Linked DNA regions of Sus scrofa. The protein of the gene in region 2 interacts with the protein of the main gene of each other region in a biochemical or structural test. Links are inferred from orthologs where the notes say so. Each region holds a gene or a part of one and is shown on either strand. Other genes may lie near its edges.

Region 1 (3,647 bases), on a different chromosome or scaffold from region 2:
AGAGCAGGCAAGCATGAAAGGTTAACAAAGCAGGAGTGGACTCACGGGTGTACACCTGGAGAAAGCCCGGCGTGCCCGTGGAACCACCGTCGAGGAGAGGACACACCGTGATGTTGTACAAGGAACTCGATCTGAGTGGAGTGAGGACGGCCTGAGTCTCATTGACAGTGAGATTGAAGGAATCTGTCTCGCCAGCAACCTGTATCTCATAGGTATAGACGGAGGACGGCTCATGATCATTGATCTTCCAGGTCAGGGTCAAGCTGGTGGCGCTGATGTTCACAACTTTAATATCAAAAACCTGACTGGAATCTGCGAAGACACAAGAGGCGTTAACAACCACCAGAAGGGCCAAGCCAAAGAGAGAGACAGAGAGAAAGAGAGAGGAGCTGTCAGCAGGGCACATCATCCAATCTAAGCAGCACTCAGTGATTCTTCCTTCCAACTCTACACGTTTAAGTACAACTACAACGTACCCAACTGTATGGGGGTCCCAGCAGAATTCAGGCAGCATCTTCAGTGAAGAAACCACCTGACCACTTGCACCTGGGGAGTTAGTCTGTGTTCTTCTTTGTGAGCTGACTCTTAGAGATCGCAATGGACACCTCAAACAACATGCCCCCCACGAGGTTCAGGGTGACCCCAAAAGGTCTCAAGCATATAAACATACTCTACATGATCACTTAAAGATCACAGGCTTTAGCAGGGGGCAGCTCTGGATTCCAAGGTCAGCTCAGCTTTAATAGGCAGGTGGATCTTAGGAAAACCTGAGCTTCCTCATCTATGAAAGCAGGATAACAATTCTGACTCAAAGAGTACAAGTTATTCATCATTTGCACACACCACCCTCCCAAGTTACCCTCCACCTTCTTCTGCCTGTTCTGTGTCCAGGAGGCTGACCCCTGCACATTGCATCCCTGGGGCCCAGGTTGGGGGGTGAGTGGCATTCCTGCCAGGTGGCCTGGGACCAGGTTCCACCAACGGGTGACACAGGCAGGCTCCTGGAGGGCTGGAGGAGGAAAACAACTAGAGTCTTTCTCTGTACTGCCTCCTGCTCTGGGTCACCTGTTCCGGTCCAGCTGCGTCCTCCACGGCCCCAGCCCCTCACTGGGCTCTAGAAACACTGTCTCCTCCCCCTTGCTCTCCAGCCTGGGACATGATTTTCTACCACAACTAGTCTTGGGTGTCTCAACATCCTCCAGTGGTTCTCTTAACTCCACCTGGATAGTTACTTGAAAAAAAGTCTGGGTGTGTGTCTGTACATGAATATAGACACACATACATATACATACACCCACAGTAGAGAGGAGGTTAAGACCATAACATAACTATTACGAGTGTACATAATACAGATATCATTTATTAGGCACTACGACAATCAACACAAATCAGACTCTGTGTGTATCCATTTGTCCAAAAGCTTAACATATAATCAATTATTTAATTCCACTCGAATCACTTTAAAAAGGAGGGCCCCAGCCCACACTAATCTGCAGGGCCTCTTTTAGCAAATCAGGCAGAGAGACCCTCCTCTGGATGGCTCTGCCCTGGGGTGCATGGCTTGGTGAGGGGCCCACAGCCTAGATCCCAGCCCCCCTCACCCCTGCACTAGCATCCTGTGAGTAGGACAGCCCCATCATTGTCAACGGCACCCCTGGAGGAGCCCCTTTCCCCTCACCACCTTAGAATCTGGAGGGAGGGTCACCAGTCCAGCGTAGTCCAGACTTTCCTGGATGCTAGCCTGGTTTCTGTCCTTGACCTCCAGCCTCACACTCACTCCCTCCATTCTATGGGTCTCTGACAGCCTTTTGGAACAGATATATTTGGGGATAACATAACCAGAGTCGGTCTGTGCTGCCTGCCACCGAGCCCCTGAGGACTACAGGGCTGCAGCATTTGTTTCTGAGCCCACAGAGGCTGACCATGGACTTCTCATGTACATTTGCCTCAATTCCCCATCCATACGGGCATCCCTCGAGGGGAGGAGCCATGCGTTTCTTAACCCTCTCATCAGCACCGATCCCAAAAGCCTCTAAATATTGTTCCACATACAGAGTGGGAGTGCTGACAAATTAGAGATAGAAATATACCTGGCACTTGTGGGTGCCAGCAAATGTCACAGGAAGGTCAGCAGGCCTTCCAAGATCAGGTCAAAAGAAGAAACACATTTTCGTCTTTCAAGGGGAAAACTCCTAACCAACATGGACAAAGTGAAGATCAAGTTCAAGAGAAAAACATCACAGTAGTTGGACTCATTGGCTAGTCTGCAGAGTCAAAGGAAAGAGAGACTGAGGCAGCAGCTAGCGTCTGCACATGGCAGCTGCTCAACACGCTGCACTGAGTTCCATGAAAGAAGGGTCTCGGACACAAAGTGAAGAAGAAACAGAGTTTCCCGGCAGCCTAGCGGTGAAGGATCTGGTATTGTCACTGCTGTGGCTCAGGTCACTGCTGTGGAGCAGGTATGATCCCTGGCCCAGGAACTTTGTTTTTTTTTTCTTTTTTGTTTTTCCTCTTTAGGGCTGCACCTGCAGCCTAAGGAAGTTCCCTGTGTAGGGGCTGAATCGGAGCTGCAGCTGCCAACCTACACCACGACCACCACAACACCAGATCCAAGCGGCATTTGCAAACTATGCTCGTGGCAGCACTGGATCCTTACTTAACTCACTGAGCAAAGCCAGGGATCGAACCCACATCCTCATGGATATTAGTCGGGTTCTTAACCCACTGAGCCACAACAGGAACTCCATGGCCCAGGAACTTCTATATGCCATGGGTGCAGCCAAAAAAAAAAGAAAAGGAAAAGAAACTTACTGGATCTGCTCTGTCCAAAAATCTCTTCCAGAAAACTCCCTCTGACAACAAACTACTTAAACTCCCTCCAACAGCAAAACTACTTAAGAAGCAAGAGGTAATTCAGAACCAGAATCCCAGAAGACAAATTTTGTGCTAGAAAGCTCTGGCTGTGGCTATGTTACAAAATTCAACATACTTGTTTTGAACTCTGTGGCCTGGGGGTGTCCTTCGGGGCCATCTGCTGCCCGGGGATAAACAGTGGCCTTGTACCCTGCATCAGACTTTAACCCCCAAACCAGGACTTCCGTGGTGTCCGGGGTCAGAGAAGGGTCGGAGGGCAGGTCTGCAGATTCCAGTCGGTATTTGTACCCAGGGACGCCAGGGCTCCTGAGTGGCTGGGACAAGCTGTCTGTGTTGTTGGCATCTGTTTCAAACCAAAAAAAGCAAAGCAGACGTGACGTGCAACAGAAGAACAAACCTGTCTTCTTTCAGCGCCGCTGCCCTTCCCCCACCCCTTCCCCTCCCCCCATGAGAAGCCAACCCACCCACAGCTGCTACCACACAAATATCTGTTCCTTTCCTCCCCCAGAAGGATACACGCTCCTGAGAGGGCCCTGAGTGAGGCCGGTATGTGACTTTGCACTTTTATCCCAGGTAGCACCATAGACATTGGGGCCTCTCTCACCAACTCAGCTATCTGCATCTCTCCCCTTCTTTCGAGAAGTCACCTTTTCCCACCCAGCTCCAAAGATGGATTTCTCGGGACGGCCACGTGATCTGCACGTGGCTACTCAGAGCCCACTCACTCCAGAAACTCTGTCCTGGACCAGACCCCTGCAGAGAGAGGGCGAACC
Region 2 (3,747 bases):
GTTCGATCCCTGGCCTTGCTCAGTGGGTTAAGGATCCAGTGTTGCCCTGAGCTGTGGTGTAGGTCACAGACACGGCTCAGATCTGGCGTGTCTGTGGCTGTGGTGTAGGCCGGCAGCTGTAGCTCCAATTGGACCCCTAGCCTGGGAACCTCTATATGCCGTGGGTGTGGCCCTGAAAAGCAAAAAGAAAAAAAAGAAAGAAAAGCAGTTGACGTTTATATTGTGGGATTGTTCTAATGAAGCGACTAGAGTGGGCCAAGTATTAAGTATATGTTCAAGTCTCATACAGAATCAAAATATGATGATCTTAACAGGATTCCAATTTTTGCCAAATCCAATGACAGAAAAAAAGTTACCCGTCTTGCTATATTTGGGCAAAGCCTGATCGTGTCAACCTTGCATGCAGCTCTCTGGACTCTCCCCCCCTTTCCCTGTAAAGGAAGCATGGGATCATCAATGATATGATCCTGGGGATACCAGTACCGCCTGGGTGCTGAGGCCAGGTCCCTAGCCCACTCTGGCAGGCCTCCAGTCAAAAGCCATTAGGCTGGGAGTCCGGACACCTGGGCTTTCCAGATCTCAAGTTGTCTGCGCGATTCCAAAGGACCTTGCGCTGCTCAGCCTTCAGTTTCCTCATTTGTGAAAGGCAGGCTACCTCTAGGAGAAAGCCATCTCCCACCGCTTTTGTGAAATATGCATGGGATCACTTAGCATCGGGCCGGGCTCAGGGAGGCCAAACGCCAGAGGGCTGGTGAGGGTCCCCTAAGGTTCCATCTGGAGCCGGACCACTCAGCCGGGCTGAGTGGGGCTGGCAAAAGCAGCGGGGACCAGGCGGCCCAGTCTTGGCCCCTCATCCCAGCCCTTGTTTGGTGGCTCTGGGTGAGGTCACTGGGGCGGCCCTACTGGCTGTTCTGCATTGGAGGGGGGGAGTGGGGTTCTGGACCGTCTCAGACGGCCCTGGGGAGCTTCTAGATTGACCGAGTAGACGGAGCCCACAAGTGCCAGGGACCATGGCATCCGTGCCCAGAAAGCTGGGCGCCGCTGCGGGGGGGTGGGGGTCACGTGACGGGCGCGGGGGCGGGCGGGGGCGGGGTCTGGCGCGCGCGCGGCTCCGCGGGTGACAGGGCGGGCGGGAAGGGGCGGGGCCGCCGGGGGGGGAGGCGGGCGGGCGGGAGGGGAGGAGTGGAGATGGCGGCGGCGGCGGCGGCTCAGGGGGGCGGGGGCGGGGAGCCCCGGGGAGCCGATGGGGTCGGCCCTGGGGTCCCGGGGGAAGTGGAGATAGTAAAGGGGCAGCCGTTCGACGTGGGCCCGCGCTACACGCAGCTGCAATACATCGGCGAGGGCGCGTACGGCATGGTCAGGTGAGGGGCGTTCCAGGGGAGGGGGCGTCTTAGAGGAGGGCGATCCCAGGGAGGGGTGCTGAGAGCTCTCTAAGGCCTTGGGGTCTCTGAGCATCGTGAAGCCGCAGGGGCTTCGGGAGGCTGGAGAGCGCCCCAGGGAGAGGGCCTTGGAGTGCTTTCTGGGGGAGGGGGCGCTGCCTACGATCTAAGAAGAGGGGGGCTTGGGGGGTTTTGAGGGGAACCTTCTCTAATGAAGGGAAGGGCCTCTAGGTGGGGGAGCTGTGGGGACCTTGGGCAGTCTATAGCCACAGGGCGAAGAGAAGAGAATAAGTCTTCTGGGGGAGGTCATATCCTTGGTGAAAACGGCAGGAAGGACCCTTCCCAGGGAAAGGGCGCCTGGGATCTGCCCCCCGGGAGTCGAATCTAGGAGTTTGGGAGAGAAGAGCAGAGCTCAGGGCTGGACAGGGTGGGGCAGGGCTTTGGGCCTGGGGCCAGGGACCCAGTGAGCAATGAGGGGGTCCCGGAGTGCCTTCTTGCAACTTTCAGGAGGGCTCTGTGAGTTCTCCCAGCCCCACTGGGGGCCCTGGGCCTTTGTTCATCAGGGATTAGCTCTGCTGCCCGGGAACCTCCCCCTGACACCCGCCCCTGCTGCATCCCTTCTCTCCCATCCCTCCTTCTTCCTGGATTCGCCTCCCTGTATGTCCCTCACACCTCCCGCCCCTGGCCCTGTCTTGGGTAGAGGGAGCCCATCCGGGGAAGGGGAGGATGAGGGGTGAGGGCCACTAGAATGGAAAGGGTTGAGGAGAAGGGAAGTCAGCGATCGGTCAGTCCCTTCCTCTGTTTGTGAAGTCACTGAAGGGCTGCCTGGCTGGTCCCCAGCTTTCTCCCTGGAGATCCCAGGCCTTCACAGCAGGAAGGAACCAGCATTGTTTATGACTGGCTCTGGCCAGTCTCTCCTGCTCCCTCCCCTCCCTGCCAAGGCCTGGGTGGGGCCCGCCGCCGGGCCTGGACTCCCCCCGCTTGGTAAGGCCACACCACCAACATCTCTCCGGCCCTCTCAGCTCAGCTTACGACCATGTGCGCAAGACTCGAGTGGCCATCAAGAAAATCAGCCCTTTTGAGCATCAGACCTACTGCCAGCGGACCTTGCGAGAGATCCAGATCTTGCTACGCTTCCGCCACGAGAACGTCATTGGCATCCGAGACATTCTGCGGGCACCCACCCTGGAAGCCATGAGGGATGTGTATCCTTCACCTTGGCCAGACGGCTGGCCGGGCACAGCTTCAGAGCTGGGCTGGGAGAATGTTGGCTTGCTTTCTGTTTCCTTCTTCCCTACCACCCTTCCAGACAACCCCAGTTCAACAGACTTTCCAGCAGAAAGAGGCCACAAGGTGTACGAGGACCGGCCAGGCCGTGTGGCCTTGGGCAAGTCTGTTCTCTAAGCTCTGCCCCAGGAGGGGGCTGGGGAAGATGGTGTCTATGGGAGCTTTGTCTTGTGACATCTGCCGTCCTGTGACGTGACCCAGCCTCTGCCCACAGTCAGTTCTTTTGTTTAACAGAGGGCGATTCTTTCTTGCCTGGGTCCTCGGACTCGAAGGAAGAAAAGTGCCCCCTTTTTGAGGGCCTACTATGAGTCTGGGTGCATTGTGCACCGAGTGCGTCGACATTTCTTAATCTGACCCCCAGCTGCCCTCTGCGCTGGGGCTCATCAGCCCCATTTCAAAGAGGAGGAGACTGAGGCTCAGAAAGGCCAACGTCAGGTGCCTGTGGCTGCCTCCACCCTTCCCCCAGATGAGAACCTGTCCTCCTGTCTCTGGGACTTCCCGCTTAGATCCCCACCCTGATCCCCCGTGGACTTGCACCTTGCCCAGGGAGGGTCAGCCTTGCCTTCGTTGCCCTCCCCCCATTGCCACTTTCCTAGCTTGTTGTCCACTTCCTGCCTGGCACTGTTAGCAGCTCGTAACACCCATTGCCTCTCCCCTACCCCACCCCCCAGTCCCAGTCCTCCACCCAAGAGTGGGGATTTGTACTGCAGTGTCTGCAGCCCCCACCACAAAGTGTGGGCAGGAAATCTCCATGCTTACCCCCAGCTTCCCGTGTGACCTTAACCAAGTCACTGCACCTTGCTGGGCTTCCTTATCTTTAAAACAGGGGAAGTTGCCGTCGTGGCTCGGCGGTAACAAACTCCACCAGTATCCAGGAGGATGCGAGTTCGATCCCCTGCCTCAGTGGGTTGGGGATCCAGCATTGTCATGAGCTGTGGTGTAGGTCGCAGACTCGGCTCGGATCCCGCGTGGTTGTGGCTGTGGCTGTGGCATGGGCTGGCAGCTGCAGCTCCCATTCTTCCCCTGGCCTGGGAACTTCCATATGCTGCAGGTGTGGCCCTAAAAAGCAGAAAGAAAAAAC
Region 3 (3,647 bases), on a different chromosome or scaffold from region 2:
CAGCCAACTAAAACTCCTTTGTATTCCTGTCTTCTGTTTGGTTTTGGAATATTTTATTCTCTCTACCAGGAATACTCCTTACTTCTTTCCCTGTCTCCACCGGTGAGTCTTACTCCTTCCTTAGGTCTTCATGTGGATGGTTCTTCTCCTAGGAAACTCCCTTATATGTGTTTCTCTAGCGCAAATACTTCCTTCATCACATCCTAAATGTCTTTTTAATGATAGTACCTCCCACTCAATTGAAAGCTCCACGAGGGCAGAGATTAGTTCTTTATTGTCCACTATTGCTAAAATTGAATAAATGAACAAATCTATATAGAACGTCTGCCTGAATTCAAACCTAACCAATCTCTAGGTAAAAATGTGAATTTATACCAAGCCCCATTGGAAGAAGATGTCTCAACACATACTTCCTTCCCCCATCATCCGAGAACCAAGAGTAGCAAAACATATCATACTTGTCCTCACAGATCCAAAAACTGGTTTGCTGTAGGTTTTCCAGGAATCACCACTGACAGTCTTGACACTGAATTGATAGGATCTTCCTGGACGAAGACCATACACGATGCGTCCTTCTGATTTTCTGTTGTTGTAGGGGTTAAAGACTGTGATGGCATCTCTAGGGAACCACTGCAGCTCAAAGTCATCGTAGTCTGTCCAGTCTGGAGGCCCCTTCCAGGTGATGGCCAAGGATGTGTTTGCAACATCGGCAAATGACATAAGACTGGGAGGACTCGGGGCTGTATGTAGGAGAAAGTGAAAAATACATAATCGCTTCTCTGCATGAGATATACAGATAAGACAGCTGAGTGACATCAGATGTACTTTTAATGTACTTCTTAGGAAGAGTTAATGCAATAGTATAATAACAGGAGCTTCCATTTATATAGTGTTTAGCATGTGTAAGACACTGTCCTCAAGTGTCTTTTTAAATCATTTTTAAAAGTATAGTTGATTTGGAGTTTCCGTCATGGCTCAGTGGTTAACGAGTCTGACTAGGAACCATGAGGTTGAGGGTTCGATCCCTGGCCTTGCTCAGTGGGTTAAGGATCTGGCATTGCCATGAGCTGTGGTGTAGATTGCAGACGCAGCTCGGATCCCGCATTGCTGTGGCTGTGGTGTAGGCCGTCAGCTACAGCTCCGATTTGACCCCTAGCCTGGGAACCTCCATATGCCGCAGGAGCGGCTCAAGAAATGGCAAAAAGACAAAAAAAAAAAAAAAAGTACAGTTGATTTACAATGTGCCAATTTCTGCTTTACAGCAAAGTGAGCCAGTCATACATTCCCTTTCTTATATTATCTTCCATTGTAGTCTATCCTAAGAGACTGGAAATAGTTCCCTGTGCTGTACTGTAGGACTTCATTCCTTATTCATTCAAAATGTAATAGTTTGTCCTCAGGTGTTTTATATACATTTTCTTTAATTTCCATAACCAGAACTTTTTTATGAGGGTGATATGGAGCATGAGTGTGCCCCACACAGGTTACAAGTGTGAAAAGGTATTTAACTTGATATTCATTTATTTTTCATTTAGGGCCACACCTGCCTAGGAGGGCCACTCCCTGGCTAGGAGTGGAATTGGAGCTGCAGTTACAAGCCTGTGCCTCAGCCAAGGCAACACCAGATCCTTAACCCACAGAGTGAGACCAGGAATTGAACCCGCATCCTCAAGGATCCTATGTCAGGTTCTTAATTCATTGAGCCACAACAGGAACTCCATGAGAATGTATTTAGTCCATCAGGTTTTGGGTTGTGAAGGCTAGAGTCCATAGACACTTCCATCTAATTACAGATAGCCTTGTTCATTGATTCCAGGGTAGCATATAGATATTAATGTTATCTGTGTGTGCCCAAGAAATAAGAAAATTAAGAAAGCACTGCTCAGAGGAATGTAATGATGATGATGCTCCCCATTTTATGGCTACAAAAGCTGAGGCTTAGAAGTGCTTGTGACACGCCCAGCTGCACATAAGTAAGTGGCAGAGCTAAGGACCTAGATCTTTTTACCCCAAGTCTGTCTCCTTTTTTTTTTTTTTTTTTTTCTTTCTGTCTTTTCTAGGGCCTCACCTGGGGCATGTGGAGGTTCCCAAGCTAGGGGTCTAATCAGAGCTGTGTCACTGGCCTATGCCAGAGCCACAGCAATGCCAGATCTGAGCCGTGTCTGCGGCCTACGCCACAGCTCATGGCAACACCAGATCCTTAACCCACTGAGTGAGCAAGGCCAGGGATCGAACCTGCAACTTCATGGTTCCTCGTTGGATTCGTTAATCACTTAGTCGTTATGGGAACTCCCCTGTCTCCTTTTTCCACTTTACTATAGGGCCTTCCCAAGGTCAGAGGCTAGTCCATAGCACAGAATTATTGATTTTATTTCTCAGGAAGAAAACCCGTAATTGAAGTGCACCTTTGGAGGCTGCTTCCCACCAACCCTTGGCCATTGGCAACAGGGCTTCTTACCTGTTCTGCTCTCCCCCAGGACCTTGTTGCTGAGATCTCCACTGTGAGTTACCACACACAGCGTGTATTTCCTTCCGGGAATGAGGCCATGGAAACGCCACTCCGTCAGGTTCTTGTCTTTCCAGTTTTCCTTCTTTGTACCATTGGGGTTATAGAGAATCAGCTCATAAAAGTCAAAATCCCCAGAGGCTGGACTCCAGCTGAACCAGAGACTGTCTGTCATGTTTCGATTGGATCCTTTGAGGTTGCTCACAGAGGCTGGAACTTAAACAGAGGGAAAACCTTCACTAAAAACAAAAAAGAAACAAAGACATTTTGGCTCACAGGTGAAAACATGAGCTGTGCTGGGCATATAATAGTGAGCAGACCTATTGTACCATCAGACTTTGTCTCTCTTTCAGGTCACTTGTGTTTAAGGGCATGTGGTCTAGAGATATGGTCTAAATTAGAATAAAACAAAACAAAACTGGTAGTGTCTTCTATATGCTGGCCAAATGGCCTCTGATAAACATAGAAAGTGAAATTTTCAGAAATGACTAATCAAGACTAGTCCAGGAGTTCCCGTAGTGGCACAGTGGTTAATGAATCCGACTAGGAACCATGAGGTTGCGGGTTTGATCCCTGGCCTTGCTCAGTGGGTTAAGGATCCGGCGTTGCTGTGAGCTGTGGTGTAGGTCACAGATGCAGCTTGGATCTCGTGTTGCTGTGGCTCTGGTGTAGGCTGACGGCTACAGCTCCGATTGGACCCCTAGCCTGGGAACCTCCATATGCCACGGGAGCGGTCCAAGAAATGGCAAAAAGACAAAAAAAAAAAAAAAAAAAAAAAAAAAAAAAAAAAAAAAACTAGTCCAATTGGAGTTTCCATCATGGCTCAGTGGTAACAAACCCAACTAGTATCCATGAGAATGGGGGTTCAATTCTGGCTTTGCTCAGTGAGTTAAGGATCCAGTGTTGCCATGAGCTGCATCGAAGGTTGCAGATGTGGCTTAGATCCCGAGTTGCTATGGCTGTGCCGAAGGCCAACAGCTGCATCTCCAATTGGATGCCCAGCCTGGGAACTTCCATATGCTGCACGTGTGACCCTAAAAAAAAAAAAAGAAAAAAAAAAAAAGACTCATCAAAAATCATTTTTACCTTAGCTTCTAAAAAGCCCTGAAAGTGTTTATAAAAAGTTCCAGCCCCTTCCAGT

The links.
Region 1: of the proteins of MAPK3 (region 2) and PTPRJ, one has a biochemical effect on the other in vitro, tested with the Homo sapiens proteins (2 studies listed by IntAct, with this or other methods). The link is inferred for Sus scrofa from reciprocal best matches to the Homo sapiens genes MAPK3 and PTPRJ.
Region 3: of the proteins of MAPK3 (region 2) and PTPRB, one has a biochemical effect on the other in vitro, tested with the Homo sapiens proteins (2 studies listed by IntAct). The link is inferred for Sus scrofa from reciprocal best matches to the Homo sapiens genes MAPK3 and PTPRB.

What each region holds. Positions count from the first base shown.
Region 1 is NC_010444.4:14,592,286-14,595,932, forward strand, and holds part of PTPRJ (receptor-type tyrosine-protein phosphatase eta), read right to left. Parts: intron 3,218-3,647; coding exon 2,990-3,217; intron 313-2,989; coding exon 46-312; intron 1-45. UniProt on the Homo sapiens protein: Tyrosine phosphatase which dephosphorylates or contributes to the dephosphorylation of CTNND1, FLT3, PDGFRB, MET, KDR, LYN, SRC, MAPK1, MAPK3, EGFR, TJP1, OCLN, PIK3R1 and PIK3R2. Plays a role in cell adhesion, migration, proliferation and differentiation.
Region 2 is NC_010445.4:18,296,831-18,300,577, reverse strand, and holds the start of MAPK3 (mitogen-activated protein kinase 3), read left to right. Parts: upstream 1-1,167; 5' UTR 1,168-1,188; coding exon 1,189-1,361; intron 1,362-2,401; coding exon 2,402-2,584; intron 2,585-3,747.
Region 3 is NC_010447.5:34,700,827-34,704,473, forward strand, and holds part of PTPRB (receptor-type tyrosine-protein phosphatase beta), read right to left. Parts: intron 2,723-3,647; coding exon 2,459-2,722; intron 741-2,458; coding exon 459-740; intron 1-458. UniProt on the Homo sapiens protein: Plays an important role in blood vessel remodeling and angiogenesis. Not necessary for the initial formation of blood vessels, but is essential for their maintenance and remodeling. Can induce dephosphorylation of TEK/TIE2, CDH5/VE-cadherin and KDR/VEGFR-2.